Oryzias latipes: one gene and its partner. The protein of the gene in region 2 binds, or shares a complex with, the protein of the main gene of each other region. Links are inferred from orthologs where the notes say so. Each region holds a gene or a part of one and is shown on either strand. Other genes may lie near its edges.

Region 1 (7,194 bases), on a different chromosome or scaffold from region 2:
AAGCGCATCCTGCAGGAGGCCTTAAGGTTTGGAGATGACGCCATCTGGATAGCGACTCTTGAAGCGCGCCACAACCTCAGGATCCAGCAGGTGAATGCCATCCAGCTGGTTCCCCAGAGTTATCCTTTGAAACCAAACAAAGGTTTAAAAAAACTAGAAAAAGTGTCAAACTGTTTGAGACGGCGAGTCGTACCAGTTGGGTTGGACGTTGTGAGGCCGTCCAAAGAGCTCGATCTTCCTGGTTCCGGGGGAGAGCCTCTCAATCATGCCGTAGATCTCGTCTGGTTTGTGGCTGGTGGAGCGGACCTGAGTGGGCGGGTACTCACGGTGAGTCGCGCGCTTTCGGACGGTTTCACGATCACACGGCGCAAAGATTTACCTCGGCCACGATGACGTCACAGTCCAAACCTCGGTTGAAGCCCTGCGTGTTTCCCTTCACGCCCACCTGAGCACAGACACAAAACCGGCTTACCTTTCCCCTAAAAACAGTCGTTCTTCAAGCTTGGATTATGGGAGGATTTTTTTTTCCGTGTACCAGGCAGTGCTCCTTCCCGTGGTTCAGCCAGTGTCCCGTCCGGCCCGTCCGGATGATTCTCTGAAGCTGGTTGGTTTTGACCCAAATGATTTCATCCACACGCTCGTAGCTGAGGAAGAAAAAAAGGATACCAGAGAAAAATTGAGAGAAAAAAAAAAGAGATGATGGGTTCTTAAAAAGCTAAGCTTACCCCCACTGGCTGAGGCACTCCCTCCCCAGCTCCATGGCCCTGAAGGAGACCAGAACCGTTTAGAACCATCACAGAAAGGTGAGGAAAATCAAGACAGGAGTCGGCGTTTGGCTTCAGAAAAACAAAAACCTCTGCCCTGCGTCAGAAGTGCAAGTCCACCTTAAAACTCAGTCACTGCAGAACAATAAAGGTGGACACAAACTGCTTTCCTAATTGGTTTTTTAATTGATTGAGTTTAAAGACCCTCTCTAATCATCTACAGCAGTGTTTTTCAACCTTTTTTTGAGCCACGGCACACCTGACCATCTCCCACAACACACTGGTTGAAAAACACTGATCTAGAGATCTATATGAAAAGTTTCCTCAGTGGCCTTTTTATTATGATTACTCAAAAACTCAAACTCAAACTCAAAAACTCAAAAACTCAAAAAACCTGTGTCGTTTTCTAGGACATAGTTTCTGCAGAGCAGCAGGAGTTCATTAGAAATTCCCCTCTGAGTTGTGGGCGGGACCGTCACAGATAAGATCTCTTTTCAAACGGCATTTTTTTCTCTGCTGCTGATTCAAAACAGTAGGATTTTTTTTTAAACTCAGAAATACAACTTTAGGTTTCATTTCATGTCCACCATCATCAGAAAAATGACACGAGAACATCTTAAAAAACTACTTTCATCAGTCTTTAAAGTAAATAAACTTTAGGATAAATTATTTTTTCATATATGAGCAGGTTTTAGGGATCTGATACAATCTAAACTGGAATATTCACAGGAATCCTCCTATTTGAGCTGCATTCATGACGTCTCAGCTGAGATGGCGTCACAGCGGTAAAACCAGAAGCTGCTGGTTACACATTAGTCATGATGGCTTCTATGTCATGTATTCCTGACTCATGGTGTTTGAGCAGAAAGCAGATCCGCTTTGGAACGGATGGATCTACATCTGATAATGAAGCAGGTTCTGCTGCAATAAGGTTCATGTTTGAAATCCTCTAAACACCCGCCCTGATCAAAGTGGTGTTTTTGGAATTTTTAACATGTTCTTGTGGTGTTTTTCTGATGATGGAGGACATGTAGGAAGAATATTAAGACAAAAATTGTATTTCTGAATCTTCATTTAAATCGTTGCTGGACGGGCCACAAGCCTTCCTGCTCCGAGCTATTAGCAATGGCGAAGGGAAGGGAGGCGGGGACGCTCCACGCCAGCGGTCCAGCCCATAACTCTGAGGGGAGTTTCTAATGAACTCAGCAAAAATTATGTTCAAGAAAACTGCACAGGTTGTTGGATTTTGGCTAAAAATGGCAAAATCATACATAAAATGCCCCCGGAACACAAGATGATGAAAGTGGGTTTTTAAGCACTGCTGCAAAGAATAAAAGGGTGGTGGATGAGGCAGAAAAGAATCAAAGATGCTAACTCTGCTCTGGTTACCTGCCAGTGACCCAGAGGAAGAGGAAGCCGTCGTCCTGCAGGGCTGGGATGTTGAGTTTCCTCATTTCGTCGTCGGTCAGAGTCCCATAGGGCAGCTCCATGTGGATGTCCCAGGGGGGGTCAGCCATCACCACAGCAAACTTACCCAGAATCGACACGTCCAGGTAACGAATGTCGCAGCAGATCCACTGAGAAATGGAAACGCTTTGCTGAGAGACTAGAATTCCCGCTAAGAAAAGCGCTCTCCGCCTGATGTCCCCTCCTCACCTGCGATGGGAAGAGAGTGCCCACGTTGCTGTCGGCGTCCCCCGCGCAGAGGCTGACCTCCGCGCCCCCCGTCTGCGGCCCCAGGCTGCTCTCGGCCTCCGGCGGGCTGTCGATCTCGTAGTGGACGTACTTGCAGGTGTCCATGTGGAAGCAGGTGTTGAGGAAGGAGCAGTCGCCCAGGCTCTCGTCTGTGTGCTTGTTGATGATGCGACTGAGGAGCAGAAACAGCAGAAAAACCTTTAAGCTCATGAATTTAAAGCGTTTCGCTTCACGGACAAAACCTGAACTGATCGGAACAAATGTAAGAATAAAAAGATGAGCGAGAAGAGTAAAAATGTAAAATCTGAATTTTATCCTAGAATTAAAGCAAATTACAAAAAAGCAATAGAAAAAAAAAAAGTTCATCCATAGAATTTAATGAGATGTGTGTCAAAAAGCAATGGCTATATAGTTAGATGAGCTGCTTTTTGTTAGATAAATGGCGCCATCTTCAGGTTGAAATAGGTAGTTTTTTTTTTCTAATATAAATATAAAACAGTGGTTTCTTCTAATTCAGCAACATCAAACCAGAGTGAGCTTTAAGAAGTCGAGGGGTCAAATGTTGGGCTTTGAGGCAGAAATCTCACCGGAAGTGCAGCTTGGTGCACGGCTGAGGAGCGTCCCCGGAGCGGACGCACTCCTCTTTGGTCCCGTGGTTGCAGAACTCTTGGACCTGAGCGCGTCCTCGCGAGCGGAACTTCTCCACGATGGACTGCTCTTTGGCGGTGCTGGCGTTCAGCAGCTCAAGGATTTCTCTGCTCACCTGCACACATGTTCAGAAACATGATGATGATGATGAAAGAGCATTGACCTCCAACCTGGGGTCAAATGACGATCAGCTGAAAGTAAATAAAACACTAGATTGTAAATTACATTAAAAAGAAAATAAAAAAAAGCAAACTTTGAAAAAGAAAATTTGAAACAAAAATAATTCAAACTTGCGGTAAAAGAAATATTGAAAATCAGAAAAACAATTAAGTTTGAAACTTAAGTTAAAACCCCCTTTATGTCTATTGATGTAAATGTGCATCGAACCACTTCTGCTGCAAAATTAACTGAATTTATCATCTACTTGAAAGCAAAAACTCAAGTGGAATTTATTTTTTTCAGTTGCAAATAAATTCGAGTCTGGAGGGGTTAAAAAAGAACAAATCTAAAACTGTTACCAAATGAAAAATTATGTTTTTTTGTCACAGCTGCTGTTTTGTATTTTCAACATTTCTTGGTGTTGAGACCATTTTTATGTGGGAGTGGAGCTTTGTTCACATCGCCCCTGGCAACAAGAGCACTTTCATTGAAAGCTCTGTTTAAACGAGGCTTTTGCATTCAAAGCTCTCACTTTCCAGCGGATCTAAACAAATTTTGAATGCGTGTTGAAAGTTAAACCAGGTTGAACTTCAGTCAGAGACTCGTACTTAGTAGTGACGTATGGATGGTGTTCCTTTTAATTCACAAAAGTGGCAACCATTTGAACATGAATCATGGAGGAGAAATGAAGAATTGTAGTTTGTGAATTCAATGACAGCAAGTTTTTCATCTATGAGAATAGAGTTGCCAAAGATTCAACTGATTTGCACGGCTTTGACATTTCACACCAAGCCTCTTCCAACAGTAGAAAAAGAAAAGAGAGGAAAGGAGAGGAATGTGTAATTTTGAGTTTAAAACTGCTTTTTTTTTTTTTTTTTTTTACTAATTTCCAGTTTGGAATTTCACTTCCCTTTAAACTGACCCTGATTTGACCCCAAACAGACCCCAAAAATGTAAAAAATAATGAAGCAACATTTAGCTTTAAAGCTGGAAGCTTCAATCATAACAAATAAAATAAATATTTTCTAATATTATCTCATTCACAAAAATGTCTCAAAAGGATATTTTACAAGAGTATAAATTAAAAATTTTCTTAACTTTTAGGACGTGAAGTTTATTTTATTAAATATCAAACATACTCGTGGTTTGAGTCCACGCAGTTTTCAAACGTTTTTCCACTTTTTGGCCAGAAAAGACCTAATATTTTTCTCGTCTGCGAGCCACATGTGACCATCAAAAGAGCCATATATGGCTCGCGAGCCATAGGTTCCCGACCCCTGTAATATTTCATCTTCTTTACATTTACCAAACACAGGTCCAATTTTCCTTACGGTTTTGCTGCTCAACATTGTTAATGGTTTTGATAATTGGACAAACTCAACAGCATTTAGTAGAAAAGACTTGGTTGATCTCCAGGTATGAGGTTTACATTCGTTTCTAATGTATCAGTCAATATCACTGAGCAATGCATAATTATGGGTGTAGATTTTGAAGAAAAGAAATGTTTACTAAGCTAAAAATGGTGATACTTATTTCCTCTTGGCAAATTAATCGTTGACTTTTGGATTTTATATTTTCTTCTGTTTAACTTTAATCTTACACACACCAGACACCGTTTTATTTTCTCTGTTTTGATTATCCGTGTTGTACACGAACGTTCCCTTGATGTGTAAAAATACATTGAAATCCCACTTTAGACTCTTAACATTGATTACTTGCTTTCCTCCGTCTTTCTATCTGTGAAAACATCAGGAGTGAGGATTCATTTCCGGCAGAGAAAAACATTGGATCACCTTCTTGCTTTGCTGCTCCTTGGTGGACTGCTGGTTTAACAGGCTCTCGATCTCCATGTCCACGTGAGAAGACTGGCTTTTGTTGCTCCTGCCCTTCTTCTCGGCTCCGCCCCCCGACGCAGAGGAGCCAGTCAGCTGGGAGCAGGAGGCGGGCGTCAGGGAGGAGATGGATGAGCGTGGAGGAGAAGCAGAGCTCTGAAGGGAAGGCGAGAAGCTGCCGGCTCTGCTACTGAAGGCCACGTCTTCTGCTTTCCTCTTGACCGCCGTCCTCTGGGATCCCGCCACGGATCCAATCATGGCCCACAGCTTGGTGTGATCCACTGCCACCACGACGGTGGAGGAGGGAACCGCGGAGGAGGCAGAGACGGACGTGGGCTGTCGGACTTCAATGAGCTCCTGAGCTGAGAACTTTAGCAGGAGGCTCTGGATGCATCCATGACTGGCGGCAGCTTCAGGCTTCAGACAGATAAACAAAGAAATCATAGTGTAGAACGCCGCATCCAACAGGTTCTTCAATGATCCCAGAAAACCACCTTACATTGTTGAGTTCATTACTGATGGCAAGGGAGTCTATAGGCAACGAAAGACTCAGGTCAGACAGATATCCCAGCAGCCTTTTCTCCAGCTCAGGATCCGGTGGTTTTTCTGTCTCCTCCTGAGAGCTGGATGGAGCTGGTGGAGCCGGGCTGTCACTCCTGACTGCAGAGCCATCTGGGACGGTCCCACTGTCTGAGAGACCAAGAAGGACCAACACATTGCATTAGAAAAGAAAAGAAAACGCATAAACACATTTAACAGTCGGACTCCGACTATATTTATATCTATTGTTAAACCATTTCCAGTCGTCTTTTAATTATGATTATGCTGTTTTGGCCAAAAGCCTGTGTTGTTTTTCTAAAGACATTTTTTCTTTAAAACGGCAAGAGTTCATCAGGCTTCGCCTCTGAATTGTGACCCTCTGCTGATATCCCATCACCCTCTATTTACACGCTCTTCTGCTAGCTTAAAGCCCCTCAACACTCCCAGCTTGTATTAGGGGTGAAACAAAAATAGCGAGCAATATCAGAGGTATCCAGCCGTACAGTTTTGAGCTGGATGTCAGCTCAGACGAGGAAAATGAAGACGTTACTGTATCTACTTGTTTGCCAGTGGATGGATCAGAGTGGAGCGGAGCTGGGAGACTTTCTGCCGCCCATTTCAAACGCTGCATCACAACTGAAAGCTTTTCCAAATAGTGGGTTTTTATCTGCTCCTGATCCATCCATCCATCCATCTTCTTAACCGTTTTTCCCTTTCGGGGTCACGGGGCTGCCGGAGCCTATCCCGGCCACTTGTGGGCGAGGTCTGTCGCAGGGTAGAATGTCCACAAACACACCACACACTCTCACACATAGGGACAATTTAGAGTGACCAATTAACCTATGAAGCATGTTTTTGGATGGTGGGAAGAAGCCGGAGACCCCGGAGAAAACCCACACATACACGGGGAGAACATGCAAACTCCACACAGAAAAGCCCCCTGTTGATGTTGTTTTTCATGTCCCCCAGCTGGGACTTGAACCGGAGGCCTTCTTGCTGTGAGGCAAGAGTGCTAACCACTGCGCCACCGTGCAGCCTCCTGATCCATCACCATGGAAATAAAAAATACTCAAAAAAGCAGTTTTCTTGTTTTTCCCTACATCCTGAGCAAAACGCTATGAGGAGAAGAACCCCCAATAACATGATTTTCATCAGAGTCGGTCTTTAAAAAAAATTTTTGATTCCTCTGCTCCATTTAGGATTGTTCAGTTGTTAAATTTTATTTCCACTTATTTTAAGGAATCTATTGTTCAACTTGCAAACAAACAAACAAAAACCACAACAACAAAAAGAAAACAAAGTAATCTCGAATTGCTAGCTACTTACTGTAAAGTTGTTATAATAATCAACATTTGTGATTTTGCTCCTAAAATAATTTTTTAGAATCTATATATATCTTTCTAAAGACTGTGAGGAAGTTTTGAAATAAAACATTTAGATGTGCTTTTCAAATATTTTTATATTAGAAAGATTTTAAATTAACACAATAAAATTGTATATATACAGACAAAAATTTTCTTTACTGGCTTTTTTGTGTTTACAATTAATACTATAAA
Region 2 (8,141 bases):
GTGGGTGGACTCTGGACTTACCTGACGCTTTGTCTCTATTTTGTTGTCTCTCTTCCTCGTTTTTGTGATGTGTGTAGTCTTTGCTGTGTATTCAGAAGCTCAGAGGCCTTTATGAAGGCAAACTTTTACCAGGAGACTCTCCAATTGGATTAAAAAAACAAACTGAATCTGGTAGATGGTTTATTGAACTGCTGGTGAAACCTGATCCTGCCGGATGTTTCCTTTAGTAAACAAGTGGAACTTGTCGTCCACATAATCACGTCCTGCTTTGGGTGATTCTCACCTGCACGTCTGGGAGGTGAAGATCTGGAAGACTTCCTTTTGCTACCAGGAGGAAGCTTCGGAAGCTGGAAGCCCGGCCTCTGTTGAGCAGCTGCTGGTAACACCGCCGTCATGTGGCGAGGAGAGTCGCCGTGGAAAGAAACAGCAATGCAAAGAGCTGAAAAGGGATTCTGGAGTGCAGAATGGATGAACGCTGCATTCTTCTTCAAATCTGTGTTTGCTCCTCACCTGTACCTTTGAAGCCAACTCAGTCTCTAACGCATAGGTAAAATATTCATGAAGCTTTAAGAGTTTCTGTTCAGTCCAGAGAGCAACTCTCTCCACTACATGAACCCAACCAGTCAGTCTTCAGGGGCCAATGATTCCTGAGGAGCAGGAGAACACGTCTGTATCGATCGCACAGCCTTGTGGGAATGGGAACGAGCAGCTGCCACCGCTCTGTTCACCTGACCTGAACTCCGTCAAATGAATAACTTGGGTTTGGAAACTGAAGTGTAAAACGACACAACAAATGGTCGCTGAACATGCATTCAAGTCATTTGTACAGCTGTTCTACTTTTTCATTAAAATATGAAAAACTGGACTATAATGATACCAGTCAAAATGATCAACCTACTACTCTGAAAGGAGATTACTGGTCTAGCACTAAATGCACAAACTAGAAGATCCACATGACCTCCCAGCAACAAGTGTACCTGAAGGACCACATGGTGTTCACCTGGGATTAAGGGACATTCTCTGTCAAATACTAAGAGAAAAGGTGTAAATCAACAATTCCGATGATCAGAGGGAAAGTGGTTTGTCAGAAAACTATTAATTGTCCTTTGAAAATGAATAAAAAGAATTCCTCCCTTAGACTACGGTCCCAAAAGTTTTCCTGGTGAGGGTTTGGTCTAGGTACATAGGTTTTTATTTGCCATCGTTGGTAAAACCCAACTTAAACAGTACTCTGGTCAGTGAAACTTTCAAACATTTAATAATTTGCTGTCATTGTCATTGAAAACAAGAAATCATAACCAATTAAATGGGAGCTAATTAAAAGTACATCTAATATAAAAACAACAATGACAAGAGTGTTAAAATAGTCGAAAACCAGAATTAAACGTCATATGACCACAGTACATGAAAAACATCCACTATTGGACAGTTTCAGCAGGCGCAGATTGTCCTTTTAATTCCTCCTTAACTATTCTAGGCACTATTTATCCTAGCCTTGTGCTATCCTAGGCACTTTAACATTGGGAGTTGGGTCATGTAGACCCACTAGACAGTGCGCTGAACCTTTTTTCTTCAATGATTTGTGATCTTCACTGGTGTCCATGGATTACATGAAATCTTTCCACCTTTGTCATGGTAGGGAGAACACGTCAATGTAAGGGTGGGGTCATCTGGACCCCATAAGATGCAGTGTCCTCTATTGATCTGTTTTCCCTCTTTGCCAACAAAAAAAAAGGCAGCTTTTGTTTTGTTTTTTCAATGCTCCCCACATGTAGACTACTCTTTTTTTATGTACGTATTTTTTTTACTGTATTAAAGTACACATCATCACATCACCAAGCAGACCATCAGATAGCAATAACCAATATTATCTTTCAAAAAAAGAAATACAGAATATAAAAGATTAATGAGGAAATAGTTAACAAAAAGGAAAATTTGCAAGTACGAAATTAAAACATTAAATATATATGTATAGGTAAAAAAATTATGTTTACAAAAAATTGCCTTGGATGTATTAATATTTTTAAGAAATTTGACAAATCTCTTATCCTAAATCCAGTAAATTTGGGAGTTTTTTTTCTCTTACTTTGCCCTTTTGTATGAAAAATTTAGGTAGGAGAAGCAACAAATTAATAACGTTTTCTACCATTTTATCACCAAAGTTAAAATGTGTAGAATTTGTTTGAAATGTATTAGTTTACTTTGTTTCTTTAAATTGTTCTAAACGGATCCAGAAGTGAAAGGATGTACAACAGTAGAAAAGGTGATGAACTGATTTAAGTAAAACTACAGTTATTTTCTATCTATCTTTAGAATTTAGAAATGAACATATTTGTGGGGTAAATGTTATTTGAAATTCTTTTATGTATTTCTTTAACTTTATTGTTTATTCAAAATGTATCTGGCAGTAACCATGCTTTTTTTCCAATTGATATAATTTAAAATATGGTTCCAATAAATTTCTCCTTTAGGTGTTATGCTTCTTTTTTCGCTAAAAGTATTATGTGTTTGTTGTTGCAATTTTTTGATTGAAAATATCAATACCATTAAGTGTTAAAGGAGGGTGTATTTCAGATTCCTCGTGATATTTAAGGTTAGAAGTCAGTAGTTGAATTACTCCTGAGACAAGAGCTTTCATTACACTCTTGAATTCTTTGCTTGTTACTGGAAAACACATTTTATTGAAGAACCTGTCATAATCGATGGCTGCCATTCTCATCAAAAAGATCAAATTTTTGATGGTTATATCATCATTGTTCCAAGTTATACTTTTGTTTGGTGAGAAATAATGTGCATAGCATAACGTCCAGGCACGACAAAACTTGCAGATACAAATTTTAAAGATTGACAGGAGTCTTTCTGATATTTACATTTAAAAAGAAATTGAAGACCCCCGATTTTATTATAAAATATTAAATGGGATAAAGTACCAAATTGATTTTGAGTCTTAAAGGCCTTTTTGAATCCAGTAACCATTAAATGTATAATTCAAATCTGAGAAATGTAGGAGTTCATAACCTCCTTTGCATGAGGGGGCATAAAATAGTTCTTTCTGAAGATAGTGACGTCTATTTTTCCATACAAAGTTAACTAAGAGGTTGTTTATTTCTTTGGAAGTTGAACAGAAGTAAAGATAAGGATAGATTAGGAGAAATTTCTCTTGAGATACCTTTCGCTTTAGCCAAGAGGATCCCGCCAAAAATAGATAGATCTATTTGAAGCCACATATTCATGACATCTTGCATTTTTTCTAATTCTCAAGGAGAAGTTTTGTGTTTGTCTAGATTTTCTGTCCATTGTTATACTGGTGCCTAAATATGTAACTACATTTTTAACAGGGATACCATGTTTTTCTTTAACCATTTTAACCTTTGTGCTATCCTAGGCACTTTAACATTGGGAGTTGGGTCATCTAGACCCACTAGACAGTGCTCTGAACCTTTTTTCTTCAATGATTTGTGATCTTCACTGGTGTCCATGGATTACATGAAATCTTTCCACCTTTATCCACCTTTGTCATGGTAGGAAGAACACGTCAATGCAAGGGTGGGGTCATAGGTTAGCACGAGGGTTAACTTTTTAATAATATTTGACATTTAACTAAACTAAGACGTAATCTCTATTGACGTAATCCAGAAGCGTTTGAAAAATAATTAATTATACTTGTATCAAGGTCAATGTGGTTTCTGTCTATTAAGAATAATGCAGTATCATCTGCTTGCTGTGTTATTTTGATTTCCTTTGAAAAATGGATAAACCTAATAAACAAGGACAATTTGGTATGCAGGAGTTTTCAAATCAAAACGTGCAACGTGCTTGCGTCACTACAGGCTCCGCCCTCCTTTGGGAACGCGCACATTCCTATTGTCCAAGATGGCGGCGCTGGTGCAGCTCTTGTGATGCTGACATGTTTTTAAAGGCTTCTCCTCTTTTCCCCGTAAATGTGTGACCACTCGGAGCCCGCTCTGGAAGCGCCCCCTAACCGAAGCAGCCTGCGCCGCCGCCGTCTCCGAGCTAACGCTCCCGGAATCCGCAGCAGCGCCGGATCTCCGCTGCAGGCTCGGAAAAAAAGTTGAAACTCTCCATCATTATTGGAAAATGAAGCGGCAGGCCGTGAGAGACGGCAGCCCATCCAGGGCCCTAGCCAAGCGGATTCGAGAGAGAGAACGGGAGAGCGCCCGCAGAGAGGAGCTGCCGCCGCCGCCGCCGCTGGCTCTGCTGCTGGCGGAGAGCCGGAGCTACCACCGGCGGAGCCGCAGCAGGGAGCGGGAGAAGCCGCGCCTTCGGGAGGAGCGCGCGGCCGCGCTGGAGCTCCACCACCGACACGAGCTCAGCCTCCTGGGCCGGCCGCCGCTGCGGGCCGCGGAGCTCCCCGCCGCGAGACCCGGCACGCTGGAGTACAAAACGCTGCTCATCAGCAACCTGGGCTCGCAGGTGTCGGACGAGGACGTCGAGGACGCGCTGTTCCACGAATTCAAAAAGTTCGGGGACGTGAGCGTGAAGCTGTCGCACACGCCGGAGCTCGGCCGCATCGCCTACGTCAATTTCAGACAGCCGGAGGACGCCAAGGAGGCCCGGCACGCCAAGTCCTCCCGGCTGGCTCTGGGTGATAGACAGCTCAAAATAGAGCCCATGTACGTTAGGAGGCGGAGCGTCACCCCCCCGGACGTCAGCTATCTACCTTTACACGCCCCCTATCCGTACAGACAGCGCTCCTTGTCCCCACCCGGGACCGGCGTGAGCAGCATGCGGGACCTCCGGGCCAGACACTTTGCGCTGGAGAGCCTGGGTCTGAGCAGAGACCGGGAAAGGCTGCTGGACTATTATGGTATGCTGGATGAGAGGGGGCGGCCCTACGCGTTCCCCCCCATGCCTGTAGTGGAGGACCTGAAGCCCGAGGATGACCAGAGGGCCACCAGCAACCTGTTCATCGGAAACCTGGACGGGAATGTGACGGAGGCTGAACTCAGGAGAGGGTTTGATAAATACGGCATCATTGAGGACGTGGTCATCAAACGGCCAGCACGCGGCCAGGGCGGGGCTTATGCCTTTGTAAAGTTTCAGAACCTTGACATGGCCCACAGGGCCAAAGTGGCCATGCAGGGCCGTCTTATTGGTGGAAACCCAATTAAAATCGGATACGGCAAAGCCAACCCCACCACCCGACTGTGGGTGGGCGGTCTGGGACCAGGAAACTCGCTGACCGCTCTGGCGCGGGAATTTGACCGCTTTGGAAGCATTAGGAACATTGACTATGTGAAGGGCGACAGCTTTGCTTACATCCAGTATGAAAGTTTGGATGCAGCCCAGGCCGCCTGTACCCAGATGAGGGGCTTTCCTCTGGGCGGGCCAGAGCGCCGCCTCAGGGTGGACTTTGCTAAAGTGGAGGAGAGCCCCTCCCGCCCATTTCCCCCTGGTTACCAGCTTCCTGTGCCTCCCCCCACGCATTATGACCTCCTTGGAGAGGCCTACAGTCGCCATCGCAGCCTGGAGCGCGAGCTGAGAGGAACCAGGGAGCGCTCCTCACCGCCCTCCCACAGCCTCCTCTCTTTGAGAGAGAGGGTCCTGCTGGAGAGAGAGTTTCCCAGCAGCCCCACCCGAAGCCTGGACAGGAGGGTGGGAGGAGTGGAGGCGTTTGGAAGAGCTGGCCGAGGGGCGAGGAGCCGCAGCAGGAGCAGGGAACGCTGGCTGAAGGAGAGGGAGGAGAGGAGGAGCCGCAGGAGAAGCAGAAGTCTGTCTGTCGACAAGCAGTCGGAGGAAAAGGAGAAAGAAAAGGGAAGGTCGAGGGTTCGAGTTCCGGGAGGCACCGCCTCCCCTGATGCAAGCCCAGACCGAGCACGGGTTCGAGCCCCGGACTCCACCACTGAGCCAAGAGACCACTCCCCTGACAGTGGTGGAGGGGGGCGACACGCAAATGCCACAGAGGAAGAGCCCCCATCCAGCCGTCACCACAGCAAGAGGTCCGCGAGCGTCAACAACCACCATCGAAACAGCGACGTGGCCGCCGCCAGCCCCCCCGCTGCCCACACGGACACCTCGTCCACCCTGAGCTCGCTGTCGGAGTACGCCCAGGGCTCCCTCACCAAGGTGTGGCAGGGCTTCTTTGCCTTGAAGAACAGCAGCTTCCCCACGGAGCTGTACATGCTGGAGGGAGGGGCCTCCTTCCTGAGCGGCGTTTTGAAGGACAGCCTGAATCTGCAGAACCGGAACCAGCCAAGCCAGTTGAAAATTGCCCAGCGCCTGCGCATGGACCAGACCCGGCTGGACGAGGTGTCGCGCCGCATCAAGCTCGGCCGCCCTGACGGCTTTGCCATCCTGCTGGCTCTGCAGGGCGCCATCGACCGCCAGGCCCCCGCCCCTGAGCCGGGACTGCAGATACGTCTGCTCCGGCACCTGGTGACATACCTGCGCAACAAAGAGGCGGCGGGGGTGGTTGGTCTGCCTGCCACCAAAGAGGGGGGCACGGGTGGGATGCTGTACGCCTTCCCCCCCGGTGAGTTCTCACAGCAGTTCCTGCAGGCTGCCCGGAGGACTGTGGGTAATCTGGACGAGGAGCACATGGTCATTGTGATCGTCAGCGACACTAATTGAGTCTGGTGCCGGCTCAGTCCCACACTACAAGTCCTTCCATGGTTTGCTGGGGGGCGTGTTTTGACTCCTCTGTCGAGGTTCCCCTCCGACAGTCACGCCGGGACGCATTCAATTAAAAAAAGCAGAAAGGTCGTCGCCCCGACAGGCAGCACGCCGCCCTTTCTGCTTCAGGTGGAACTGAGAACACTAATGCCTAGCCTGATGGTTTCTATGCTTCATACTTTATGTGTTTGTATCCTGGTGTCACCTGACCTGTGCCGACACCTCCAGTGACATGGAGACTTTCTGCAGAGCAGCTGGACTGTAAGCTGATGCCGGCTGATCGAGTCTCTCCTCTCTGGACTCTACCAACTTTTTATTTATAGTTCAAAGGCTCCTGGGCCAGTAGACAGAGTCCCGGCCGTCCTAACCACTCCGCCGGTGTTTTTATCAGATCGCTCATTCCACACTTCACTTTGCTTTTTATGGTGCCAGAGTGTTTTCTCTGTTGTTGCATGGACTAGAATGAATTTCTATGGATAAAGATGTAAACTACCTTGTGGAGACGTTTTAAAAAAATATTTTCGAGTCGTACTGTTTCAATTTTTCTTTTTTATTGTGGACATTTCAAACTTCAGTTTTTAATCTGTCAGTCCATCCACACTTGAACTACTCGTTTTAATTTCTGTCATCACATGTCAGCACTTTGATGGGATCAAACCATTTCAGATGTTTCACATCAAGATGAAAAAGACAGTAAAAGACGACGCAAATAAAAATAATTGGGAAAGAAAAATCTGTGTCCTATAAAAACAACTTAGCGGTAAATGGAGACAAAAGAAGTTGACTGCTCAGAACTTTGGTGTGTAAAGGGTTCCTCCTAATTTTTATTTAAAACCAGAACCTGCATCAAGACTGGAGATGAGCTGAAGCAGGGGTGGACAGGTGGTGTGTGATGGGTTTCAGGTGCAAAGCTAGTCTGAAAGGTTGTCTGTGCCGCTAATTAGTGAAGCGGAACAAGAGAAGATGAAACAAAGTTAGTGGCGTAATAAACCGGCGCTCAAAACATGTGAATGTCCCTGAAAACGTTTGCAAACACGTTAGCTTCAAGCTAAAATGGAAGACAGATTTTCTTCCTCTGCATTTTGTCTGAAAATATTTCACAAATTAGACTCAAATAAAAATAGTCTTTGAAAGAATCATTTAGATGTGGTGTAACTTCAAAGTTGACTATTTCTACTATATCTTCAGTCAAAAATACTGTTTATGTATTAATAGCTCAAAAATGACAGAGTACACAAATCTTTGTGAGGTTGTCACGAGTATTAATAGTATTTTTATAGTAATATAGAATTTAAACAGATCAGGCTTTTTATTATGAAAGCAGTGACAATTGTGTTTCATGCTCTACTGGGGAGCATAACACATCTAAAGGGCGTAACCTCTGCTGACCGAACAGCAGCCACCGCTCTGTGGACGGCGCTGGAGAAGCACGTGCCTCGCTCTGGACGACGCTGCTTCCCACGTGGGCTCGGATCCGTCAGGCGGGAACCGCAAACCCGGCAGCAGGT

The links. The genes of interacting proteins can lie anywhere in the genome.
Region 1: rbm15b (region 2) and mettl3 share a complex: the UniProt entries of both Homo sapiens proteins name them as parts of the WMM complex. The link is inferred for Oryzias latipes from reciprocal best matches to the Homo sapiens genes RBM15B and METTL3.

The regions. Positions count from the first base shown.
Region 1 is NC_019876.2:17,630,967-17,638,160, forward strand, and holds part of mettl3 (N6-adenosine-methyltransferase catalytic subunit), read right to left. Parts: intron 5,789-7,194; coding exon 5,598-5,788; intron 5,516-5,597; coding exon 5,060-5,515; intron 3,223-5,059; coding exon 3,047-3,222; intron 2,632-3,046; coding exon 2,421-2,631; intron 2,342-2,420; coding exon 2,154-2,341; intron 765-2,153; coding exon 726-764; intron 645-725; coding exon 536-644; intron 446-535; coding exon 380-445; intron 307-379; coding exon 194-306; intron 125-193; coding exon 22-124; 3' UTR 1-21. UniProt on the Homo sapiens protein: The METTL3-METTL14 heterodimer forms a N6-methyltransferase complex that methylates adenosine residues at the N(6) position of some RNAs and regulates various processes such as the circadian clock, differentiation of embryonic and hematopoietic stem cells, cortical neurogenesis, response to DNA damage, differentiation of T-cells and primary miRNA processing.
Region 2 is NC_019863.2:6,225,167-6,233,307, forward strand, and holds rbm15b (putative RNA-binding protein 15B), read left to right. Parts: upstream 1-3,539; 5' UTR 3,540-4,098; coding exon 4,099-6,591; 3' UTR 6,592-7,360; downstream 7,361-8,141. UniProt on the Homo sapiens protein: RNA-binding protein that acts as a key regulator of N6-methyladenosine (m6A) methylation of RNAs, thereby regulating different processes, such as alternative splicing of mRNAs and X chromosome inactivation mediated by Xist RNA.